Lonchura striata: one gene and its partners. The protein of the gene in region 2 purifies or fractionates together with the protein of the main gene of each other region. This does not show direct contact. Links are inferred from orthologs where the notes say so. Each region holds a gene or a part of one and is shown on either strand. Other genes may lie near its edges.

The links.
Region 1: the proteins of FBXW7 (region 2) and NAP1L1 purify together in Homo sapiens (affinity purification with mass spectrometry, with the first as the bait; 3 studies listed by BioGRID). This does not show direct contact. The link is inferred for Lonchura striata from reciprocal best matches to the Homo sapiens genes FBXW7 and NAP1L1.
Region 3: the proteins of FBXW7 (region 2) and YAP1 purify together in Homo sapiens (affinity purification with western blotting; 4 studies listed by BioGRID). This does not show direct contact. The link is inferred for Lonchura striata from reciprocal best matches to the Homo sapiens genes FBXW7 and YAP1.

Annotation. Positions count from the first base shown.
Region 1 is NC_134607.1:46,986,637-46,990,381, forward strand, and holds the start of NAP1L1 (nucleosome assembly protein 1-like 1), read right to left. Parts: upstream 2,181-3,745; 5' UTR 2,050-2,180; intron 1-2,049. UniProt on the Homo sapiens protein: Histone chaperone that plays a role in the nuclear import of H2A-H2B and nucleosome assembly.
Region 2 is NC_134606.1:43,089,905-43,093,649, forward strand, and holds the start of FBXW7 (F-box/WD repeat-containing protein 7), read left to right. Parts: upstream 1-809; 5' UTR 810-951; intron 952-3,745. UniProt on the Homo sapiens protein: Substrate recognition component of a SCF (SKP1-CUL1-F-box protein) E3 ubiquitin-protein ligase complex which mediates the ubiquitination and subsequent proteasomal degradation of target proteins.
Region 3 is NC_134604.1:42,221,997-42,225,741, reverse strand, and holds the start of YAP1 (transcriptional coactivator YAP1), read right to left. Parts: upstream 2,612-3,745; 5' UTR 2,354-2,611; coding exon 2,030-2,353; intron 1-2,029. Other genes in the region: CFAP300 (cilia- and flagella-associated protein 300), read right to left, coding at 3,344-3,475. UniProt on the Homo sapiens protein: Transcriptional regulator with dual roles as a coactivator and corepressor. Critical downstream regulatory target in the Hippo signaling pathway, crucial for organ size control and tumor suppression by restricting proliferation and promoting apoptosis.

The DNA of each region.
Region 1 (3,745 bases), on a different chromosome or scaffold from region 2:
AGCAGTCACCATAACAAATCCCCCACCTGCTCCTAGGAATAATTTCTGAGTGACGCAGGGGGTAAATGATGCACAAGGATGGTGGGAGCATTACTGTGTATATGTAAACAGCGCCGCAGCAGATCTGGCACTTCTTGCAACAATGGGCTGGCAGCACAGATGCTGCACCGTACTTCTGTGTGCTCCCAACAGTCTCTTCCTAGCTTTGTCAAAGTCCGAGAAAGACCAGGAGCTCTGAAAAACACCAACCTATCACCTGTGCACAGGACCAACATTCTACAATACTCAGTCCTCAGAAACCAAGAGTAAATTATCGCCATGACTTGTCACAAAGCACAGAAAAAGTGAAGGGCAGTAAGACTGCTAACATGTGTCACTCACAGGACTAAGTGCGACACACACACACAAGCTCAGGTGTCAGAGGCCTATTCTAAGCACTTCTATCAATGCTTCAGATACCCAAAGCCTGAGCAGCCTCAACTTCTGTCTCATATACAAGCATCCAAGTCACTTAAATTTCCATGTACGTATATTTTAAATGCTATCTTCCCCTAAGGATTAATATAATTTCTGGATTTACAAGAGACTGGAAACCACTCAGCTTGCTTCAATCAAAGTACAGTGCTTCTCCCATGCTTTGAAGTGTACCATTGTAATATGGGCTCAGCAGGAAGGCTGCTAAAAAGCTACTAACATTTTTGTCAAGAACCACCTTCAGCAGCTCACAGCCTTAGGCCTTAACTCTTACCTCAAGTTTAATTTCATGACTGTAATTAAAATTATCAGGCACTATCTCCTGCCTAATTAATGTAGCATCTACCAGCAGATGTTAAAATCCCAAGAGGCCCTGAGCCGAATATTTGTCATACCTTGCAGACACCATGCCCATTTCTCTTACCCTCCACAAATGAGATAGAACATGAGATGTTAAGTGTATCTCAACAGGATTTGAAACGTACACCTAACTGCAGAAAGCTTGGAGATAAAGTGTGGAAGGTGCTGCTGTATTATTATTACACCAGTTGTTTGAAAAAAGGTTTGCGTTTTCTTTTGGCAAGCAAATGAGGTAGGCTTTTTAATTCAATATTGAAAATCTCACAAGTATTGGCAGTGTAAGGACGCTAAACAGTCAATATGGAACAGACAAGTGTATGTTTTATACATATGGAACATACGGAGTATGCTTTATAGCTCTAGATAAATGCTGAAGACAAGTTAGTATTTCCACTTGTAGTTACTAAATCCTCCAGGTGGTTTCTCAGCCTTCCTCGGGGACACTGCTTAGGGTGATACCAGCTAACAGGCATCCGGAGAAGCGACATGTTGAACTCCCGGACACCACTCTACCGTGAAGCAGGACGCGGGAGCTGCCCGCCTGCTGGCTGAATCGCTGGGTCCCCCTGCCAGCAGCACGGCACAGCACAGCCGCGCCGCGGCTCCGCACGGGAGCGGGAACGAGGCGCGGGAGGCGGCACAAGGCCACGGCGCGCTGCCATCCGCCGCTGCCCGCCGCGCCATGTGCGCACACACCGCGCGGGGCCCCGCGCCGGACCGGCCCCGAGCCCCTCCCGCGCCCTCCCCGCGGCCGGCCGGACGCGCACCCGCTCCTCCCCGCGCCGCTTTCCGGCCCCGCCAGCCTCCCGCTCCCCGGCCGCGCCGGGCGCGGCCCCGCTCGGGCGCCCACGTGTTGCGGGGCCGACCCGCCTCCCCCCGGCGCCGGCCGCGCCACGGGCCCGGCCTAGCGCGGCCCGGGCGCTCCGCGGGGCGCGGCGGACGGACGCGCGGGAGGCGGCGAGCCGCGCTGCTCGCTGCGGGCCCGGGGGGCGAGCAGCGCGGCGCGGCCGCCCCGCGGGCGGCGCGGGGGGTACCCGGTGTGGCACGGGCACCGCCGGCCCCCCGCGTCCCGCCAGCACAGCGGCCCCGCTAGGCCGGGCCGGCATCCACGGCCTTCCCGCGAGGGAGCGGGGGCCCAGCGCCCCCCGCCCGCCCCCCGTGCCCCCCGTGCCCCCAGCCCGGAGCGGCGGCGGCGGGGCCGCGCTCCGGCGGTACCTGCGCGGCCGGCGGGCGGCGGTGACTCAGGAGCAGCGAGGCGGAGGCGCCGCGCGGCCGGCGGTGAAAGGACCCGCGCTCCCGCCGCTCGCGCTCATATAGAATTAACGTCACCACGTAACCCCCCTCCCCCGCCGCCCGCGTCTCATGGCAACGCGTGCGCGCGCCCTCGCGCCGCCCGCCCGCCCCGGCCGCGAGCGCGCGCCGGCCGTTGGCCGAGGCGGTTGGGCCCGAGCGGCGCGCGGAGCCGGGAGTGCGGCCCGGGCCGCGGGGCTGCCCGCCCGCCGAGCGCAGGGGCTGCCCCGCAGCGCCGGGCAGGGCGCACCGGCCGCCGGGCAGGGCGCCGCGCTCCCCGGCCGCCGGGCAGGGCGCACCGGCCGCCGGGCAGGTAGCCGTGCTCCCCGGCCGCTTCGGTGCTGCCCCGAGCCCGAACTCGAGAGTGTCTGAAGACACCTGAGCATAAATAGAAGTTACTCGGACAGGTAAACTCTATTCACACAGGCCGCAGGTACCATAAAACCACAGTCAGTACAAGCTTATCTTGAAAAACCAAGCTGAGCACCTGCTGGTTCATCAGAGTTTCGGCCATTTCTGCCTTGGCTGGGGTGAGCGGCCAAAGGCAGCAACAGCTCCAACCTTCCCATTTTGACTTGCCGTACTTGCCTGCCGGACTTGGTTTCCTGCAAATGCCTGTTTCCGAGCTCCAAGTAAAGCCGTTCCTAAAACGTATTCCTTCCTAGCATTTGTCTCCATGCTCATAGTCTTGAGTAATAGCACGTAGCACACTTGGAGAGGACATCTGTGATCTACACTAAACTTACAGAAATGTAAATGTCTTTGAGACTTCTAACCTCTTGGTTGGAAGGAGCCAATGATTCCAAATACACTTAGGTGAGATGGCCAGACACGCGGTGTGATGGCATAAGAGCTGTTTGCTGAGGATATATTGCCAAATACTTAATGTGTATTCTTTGGAATTTACCAAATTCTTCCATCTATTTGTCTAAGCAATCTGCACCCTGAATGCATCTATTTAAATAATGAAAATGACAACAGAAAGCAAAAGAAGAAAAAGTGGTGATTCTGCCAAGTATCTGCAGTACATTCTATATTAAGAACAAGGAAACTATAAAAGATTCTATTCCATATGGTGCCACACCAGCTTTGTTCCAGTGTTTGGCAGTAAAATCTCAGGCCCCAAAACCAGATGTCTTTGTGGGAAATAAATCCCATCTGCAAGACAGAAGTTCATGGAGAGAACTTAAGGATGTCCTCCTATTCCCCCAGCACACTAAATTTTTAAAGGTGGGCTTCTTTCTATCATTCAGTTTTAAATAGTTTGAGACCACAAAGCTGTAAGTAGGAAAGAGAAGGATTCAGGACAAGGATTGCACAGCATAGTCCAAGTGATAGGAATTAGGGAGAAACAGAGATGGAGATGCCACATGATTTTAAAATTAAAATACCTGTACCCCCACTTGCAACCCTTTTAAAATTGTACTGGATATTAATGTCTAATTTATCCGAGGTGTTTGGTGCTTGGGAATATAAAGAGGGCAGAGATGTACAGAAGGCATTTGGTAAAAATGAGCAATCGATTGCTATTATTGCAACAACAATTACCTGCCATTTGCAGGCGTTCCCTTTATTCAATCAGCTAAAGTGGCAATCAACTGTAAACAAGTGAGTCACAAGG
Region 2 (3,745 bases):
AGCGTGACCAGCACTTCCCACCGCCGGCTCCCGCACAAACCGAGCGGCGGCCGGGCACGGAGCGGCGCGCCCCGGCATCGCCCCGGCACCGGCCGTTCCCATGGCGGGAAAAGGCGGGGCGGCCACGGGGCCACCCCCTTGTCCCGGGCTGAACCGCGCGGCCGCGGCGGGACCTGCGCGGCTCCGCCTCGCCCGCCCTCGGCATCATCGCTGCGCGCCAGCACCGGGGCGGGGCGGGCCCCGTTGCCGGGTTACCGCTGTCATCCGCCCGCGCCACCGCCGCGCTCGCTCCCTCTCCCGCCCGCCCTCCCCGCCCCCTCCCGGCGCCGCAGGAAGCGAGCGGATCCCGGGGCGCTACTGCCGCCGCTGCCCCCACCGCGCCCGGCGTCCCCGGCCCGGCCCTGCCTCGCCGCCCAGCGCCCCGCGCCGCCGCTCCCCCCACATGCCGCAGAGCGGAGCGGTCGCGGCGCCGAGCCCCGCCGCCCGGCTGCCCCGCCGCGCCGCCCAGCCGGGGCCCTGACGGCCCCCCCGCCGCTGGAGCCGGGGCCCGCAGTGCATGAGAGGGAGAGCGCGGCGGGGGCCGCGGCCCGAGCCACTCGCCTCCCGGCCGGCGGCGGTGCGGGGACCGGCCCGGGGGGCGCCGAGGGGCGGCGAGGCGGTGGCTCCATGTGAGAGGACGCGGCGGCGCACCTGATCCGCCGCCGGGACAGCCGCAGCCGGGGGCTTTCCTCGAGGGCCACCAGTCCGCAGCCCGCCCGGGCGGGAGGGGGCTGGACCCGCCAGCCCCTTTGAAGTCACCCGGAGCCCGGCGGCAGCCCCGGGGCGGGGGGGGCAGCGGACCCCCTCCCGCCGGGGGAGAGGGGCTCCGCCTCGCCGTCCGCATCGCCCCGCCGGCGGGAAGGCGCGCGCGCCGCGAGCGGAGGGAGAGCCCGGCGGAGCCCGTCCCGAAAAGTGAGTGCGAGCGGGAAGAGCCGCCTTGGGAAGGGGCTGGGTGCCCCGGGGCTGCCGGCGGGGGGCCGGGGGCCGCCGTTTCCCATGCGGCTCACGTTGCCGGCCGCGCACGGTCTGCTGCCCCGCGGTCCACCCGCCGCTCCCGCCCGCCGCGGAGACGGGGCGGGAGGGGGGTGCTCCGCCACGGTCCCCGGGGAGGGCCGAGGTCTCCTCCGCAAGTTCTGCCGCCCGCTTTGTGCCGGGAGCGGCGCCCCCGCGAACAAAGGCGGCGGGCTCGGACCCCTCCGTCCCGTCCCCGCCCGGGGAGCCGAGCGGAACTGCCGCGGCGGAAAGTTGTGCAAGGTTGGGAGCGGAGCGCACGGCCGCAGGGCTGCGAGCCCCGAGGGTTTCAAACGTCCCCCACCCCGCTCCCCCGTTTTCCTTCTCTTCTCTATAGGTTGAGAGGCTCCTAACAGACCCCGCGGCTGCCTCCTGCCCGCTCATTTACAAAACACTTAGGTGGAAAATGTAGCTCTTCTTTTCACGGGAAAACGTTATTGAAGAGTTGCTTATTTTCCATGTAAAGTATTTTGAATGTGTTTTAAAAGCCAGGAGTAGTGTTGGCTCTTCCTGTTTATCGGACTAGTTGCTGCTTCATGAGGCACGAGAGTGCTCTTGCTCTTACTCCAGACCTTACTCCAGGAGTGGTTAAAGAAGGGTCTCGTTTGGGAATGGGACTGTTTGCTTGGGTTCTGTTTTGCTTTGATTTTTAGCATTTCCGCCCCGTGCATAATTTCCCGCTGAGCAAAAACTGTATCAAAACTTGAAATGTTTTAATAGAGTATCTTAACTTTCTTTTAACTGAAGCAAACAACACCTCCGTAGCTTGTCGGGGAAAAAACAATTGTGTCTGCTAGTGTTAAATTGTACTATTTGGGTGTTAAAATTTATACAGCAGTTTTTTACATGTGAGGAGGATGTACTAAAAAATGAAGAGAGTAGGTTGAATGTCGTTTATTTGATGAGACAGTGTTCAGACAGAGATCCAGAAATTGTAACTCTTGTGTGGAAACTGTTGTCTGCATGTATGAGTCCTCTCCACATCTTCCTGGAAGGAGTCTAGAAAGCCTTTGAAGGAGAAGGTTGTAGGGTTTGTCGGGCTTTCCATTAAAAGAAATGTACAGCTTGTGAACATCCTGTGGGCCAGTTGCTAGGCGCCTGCTCTCCTGCGCTTTCTTTACCAGATGCAATTGAAAGCAGAGGAAAACAAAACGTAGCAGAAATGTACGCAGTTGCTGAAATATATGGGTGTGAACAGAAGGCCATACTCCAGCATTCCAGTTATGGATGCTTGCTCTATGCTTCAGTTTGTGCAACGCTTTTGAGAGCACTTACCGCCTGTTTCCCAGCTGTATGCTTCTACATTCTGCTGAGGAGATAGCCTCTGAAAACCTGAGAAAACCTAGACATAGATAGGAATTTTAAGGTAGGCAGGGCATCTGATCTTTCACAGTTTCGTTTTGAGACACAGTTTGCTGAAGGTAAGAAGATTAATTTCTTTAGTTTGAAGTATCTCCATATCTTAAGCTTTCTGTCGTTGCTATTTTGAAAAGGGGTGTAAAGAAGTTGAACTCTACATTTGGTTCATTCCTAGCTTTTCTCAATTGCAGAACTCAGTGGTTAGGAAAGGAAGTTGCATTCTTTTCAGGCCACAGTGTTAAGAAGTTGGTAAGTTCTGTGCTAGATTTAATATCTACAGGAGCATAATGACACCGTGTCTTTTTTTTTTTTTTCCATGTGTTGATTACACTTGTTTTAAGTCACTTTCTAGTCCCAAACTTAAATCTGCCCTTTTTCCATCATCATCCAGTTGTTAATGGCAGCCTGGTTCTGTCTCTTGATGGCAATTATGCATTCTTGCTGGTGTTCCAGGTTCATAAATATCTCAAAAACATATATCACTTCATGTTTTTAATTTTTTTGTCAAGGTTTAGATTTTTCCTCCTACTGCAGCTTATATCTAACCAGTGTAGGTCCTTTGTTCAAGCTGAATAATTTACTAATACAACACTGTCTGTTTGGAAACATAAATGTTTATTAGAAAGTATGTGATTTACATTTGCATTAACTGTTAGAAAAGCTTTTACAACAAATAACTTTCTAGTTTAGGGAAAGAAATACTTTTTATCTTTAGACTTAGGCTGACAAATTAACTTTACTTCCCCTTATGTATGCACGCGGTACTTTGCAAAAGTTTAGTTCATTACTTCAATGGAATTTTTTGTCTCTGAACCAGTAAAAGAAAGGAATGGTGTGTGATGGTTTAGGCCAGGCAATGTTACTAAACAGAGAGGAATGCTACACTTCTGTCTCTTTAAAATAAACAGAGTTTTAAAAATTAGGATGGTATTTAATGAACATGTTTAATCTTCTGAATCTTTTTGTGAAGAGCACATGCAATGGCTGTATGTACATTACACTTGAAATAAAAGTAGCATAAAGATCTTATCTGCAGAGCTGCTTCAGCCTTGTCATATGTGGACTGTGTGTGTCAGGTAATTCTAGAAAGACATGATAAACTTTGCGTCAATTGCTCATGAAAATGCTCTTCCACAACAAAGTATTGTGCTTTAGTCAATTTGTGGAAACTGATGGATGGTTCAGTACTGAAATGCTCCAAGTATTCACTGGATAGACAAAATCTATTTACTGTGATCACTGCTATGGATATTAAGATAGTTTCTTGTGACAGCAAAGACTACAAAGATTTTAGATATTTGTCTGATGAAGACCTACACCCATGTAAGCGTGGAAA
Region 3 (3,745 bases), on a different chromosome or scaffold from region 2:
CTACAAGGTATTGCACCATAAGAGGACCCACTTACACACTGTTACACTTCTGCTTCACTCCCTCACACTTCATGTGTGCAAGCACATGAAGTTCCATGTGTTCAAATGGAAACCTTCAAGCACACATGAAGTTCCATGTGTTCAAGTGGAAACAAATCAGTTTTCACTTATATGCAGACAAAAGAAGCAAGTAGTAAATCAAGTGGAATTATAATATTTTAACTCCTGAGAATCACAGAATTATAGAAAATAGAAATCTTTTCTTTAAGCAGAATGTTTATGTGGCACAACTAAACAAAAAGGAAAAATGAAAATAGTCCACAATGAAGCAAATGATTCTCTCTTGCTTTAGCTGGATTCCAAGTTTATGTTTTAGGAACCACTGAGTGGTACTAGGAACAGAGATCGAACTAAGTATGATTTACAGGCAAAGATTAACATACACAAGGAATGTAAGGCTAAGCCTAAAAGTACAACCGAAAGTTGTATGACTATCACACACTTTTAGAGCATTTCAAACATGTTAGCTATTTAACTGCAGTTAATGTATTTAACAAGACACAGCACCAAGTGTTAGACAAATGCCTACCCATTCAGATTTGTACACAATGGAACCGCAATGAGATTTGCACAAGTTGGGAGAACACTATACATAAACCCTTATTCCTTGCTGGATTTCAGTACATTATTAAAGGTCTGCAACTCAAAAGCTAGCAAAACTAAAGAGGCAGATCAGCTCCACCCCTTCCAATTTCTTTTCAGTCTTCCTATATGAAGGCCAGACTGCTTTTTTTGAGTATTTGGAAAATGAATTAACTCCTAGGCTGTGAGAGTACGTGCCAAGGTTCAGCCTGGAATGAACTTCTGAAGTCAAGCTATAAATCGTTCAAAACAGAAGTTTAATAATGGAAATGTTGACAGACCCTTAACAACACGGGTACCAGGCACCAGTACACAGCGAGTTTCACCCTTACTGGCTACATAGATAAAGTGACAACAGCCAGTAATACAACCTATTTTATAGCTTAGTAACTAAGTTCATTACTTAATAACACTTGACTAGGTAGGCACAGTCTCCATCCAAAACGCTGGTTAACATCATTAGCTTTCGCTCGTATTCACACCAGCACTTAGGTCTTGGTACAAAAATCCCTCTGCTTAAACACCAAACGCTGCCGGAGGCCAGACAGACCCTGCCCCGCAGACCCCACCCCGCTCCTCCCCGGCCCTGCCCCCGCATCGCCCCTTCCCCCCGGCCCTGGCCCGCCCCCTTCCCGGCCCTGCCCCGCATCCCTCCCCCGCTCGCTGCGGCCCTGCCCCGCATCGCTCCCTCCCCGGGCCGGCGCGGCCGAGGCCCCAGGGCTGCGAGCCCCGGCCGCAGCCTGCAGTCGCCGCTGCCCGGGGCGCGGGCGCTGCGCCCGGCGGACCCCGAACGCCGGCAGACCCGGCGTCTGCTTCGGCAATTAACTTCGGATGTGCGTGCGTGTGTACGTGGGGGGTTAATCCCACTCAAAACAGCGCCGTCCTGAAATGGTGGAAAATCACATCCATATTTACTGTCTGACGGGGCGAGGGGGTGTAGGTTTGGCACCACTTCATCGACCCCTTCTATAGAGGGCAGGGAATTGTACCGCAAAGCGACATTCCAAGCGAAGCGTTTTCACCCAAGTTTTAGGGGCTCACCCCCACGGTCGAGGCCGAGATGGCCAAGGAGCGGATGTGGAGATCGGGGCCCCGCCGGAGACAGGGACGGGGCCGGCGCTCGCCCGCCCTCCCGCCGCGGGTCCCGGCCCCGTCGGCGTCTCGGGGCGCGGGAGGCGGCCCTGCCCCAGGGGGAGAACAAATAAAGGGGTGTGGGGGCGGCGGAGAGCCCCGGCCGGGCGCCCCCCGCCCCGCTGGCGGATTCCCGCCCCGGCCCCCTCCCCCACACGCCTCCCCCGGGAGGAGCTCGGCGGGGAGGGGGAGCTCGGCCCGGCCGGGCTGCCCCCGCCCGCCCGCGGCGCGGGCCCCTGCCCTCCCTCCCCCTCACCTGGCGGGAGTGGGCCTTGGGCTCGGGCGGCTTGAAGAAGGAGTCGGGCAGTTTCCGCAGTCGCATGGGCAGCGTGTGTGGCACGTTGGCGCCCTTGGGGTTCATCACGGCGTTGAACAGCGCCTCCAAGTCGGTCTCCGAGTCGCCCCGCACATGGACGATCTGGTGCCCCGCCGGAGGGGGCCCAGCCCCCGGGGGCTGCGCCGCGCCGGCCGGGGCCCCCGACACCGGGCCAGGGGGCTGCGGCGGCGGCTGCTGCTGCTGCGGGGCCGGGGGCTGCGCCGCCTGCGGCGGCTGCTGCGTTTGAGGCTGCCCAGGATCCATGGCTCCGTCGGGACCCCCCGGCGCTTCCCTGGCGGGGCTCGGCGGCTCAGAGCCCGGATTCCCAGTCCCGCATGCCCCGCTCCCCGGGCCGCGGGTTCGTCCTGCTGTCGCCGGTGCTTCTCACCCCTCGGTCGGGAAGCCGACCCGCCCGCGGCAACTGGCAAAACAACTCCGGCCGTGCGGCGCTTCCCCGAGCCCGGCCCAGCCCGGCCGGCGCCTCTGTCCCGGCGGCGGAAACTAACTCACACAACACACCAAACAAAAGTTCGCAGTTACGCCCGCCCGAATCACTCTCCGCCGCCGGCTCCGCCCCTCCTGAGCCCGCCCGCACCGTATCCGAGCGAGGGAGCCCGTGCTCGCAGCGCTGCTGCGCGCGCCCGCCCGCACCGCCTCCCGCCCGGGGCGCTGGGGGCGCTGCGCGGCCCCGCGGACCCCGCTCCGCCCGCGGCCCGGCCCGGCTCCGCACCGCCCCGCACCGCCCGCTGCCGCCAACCAGAACTTTTATTTCTCCCGAACTTCTATCCCAACTTCCAGGAGGCCGCTTCGCCAGGGGGTTGGGAGGGGCGGCCGCGCTTCCCTGCCACCGGCCCGGAGGGGCCATCGGGCCGGGACCCCTCCCGCCGGTCCCCTCCGTGCTATCTCCCGATTCCGCTGAGCTTTCACCGACTGCAGAGTCTCCCCTGCAGATACGCGTCGCGGGTCTGTAAAGCAGGCTCATAAAAATGACGAGACCTCTAGAGAAATACTTTTTATTAAATAACACGGGTGAGGGAAGGGGGGAAACGGCCAAGAAAACAGCTTCCAGAACTACACATACCGGAAAACTACTGTCATTAACCACACATTAACATCTGAGTGAATGACAATTACTTCTGAGCACATCATCAAGGAGTAGAGCTTTCCTCGTCAGAAAACTATGCAATGTCTACCTGAGCCCAACAGAAAGAAGGCAATCTCCATTATAAAACTGGGCACCAGCCAGGTTTATAACTAGTTTGCAAATAGGCTTTCACCGAAACAGTGATACAGAATATTCACGTGTCGCTTGCAGGGATCCACAATCAAGTAGGCAAAAGTCTGTTGGTGGCTTTTGTTTGAAGGGTAACACAGGCCATTAACATCCTGAAAGGAAGAAAAAAACCAAAACCAAAACAGTATTAGGGACAACAGAGATATCTGTAAGAGAATAAAATCTGAAGTTAATAATTTTGTTCCAGTTGTAACTGTTCATTGCACAGCAAAATAAAACAAATACACTGCAGTTTATTTAAATGGTGTATTTCCCCATGAGGATCCCAACACTACAAAATGCACAGTAATTCTGACTGGATGTATCAAATAACCTTGAGGTAAATGTAATATTTATATAAAATGTAAAACATACAAGCATGT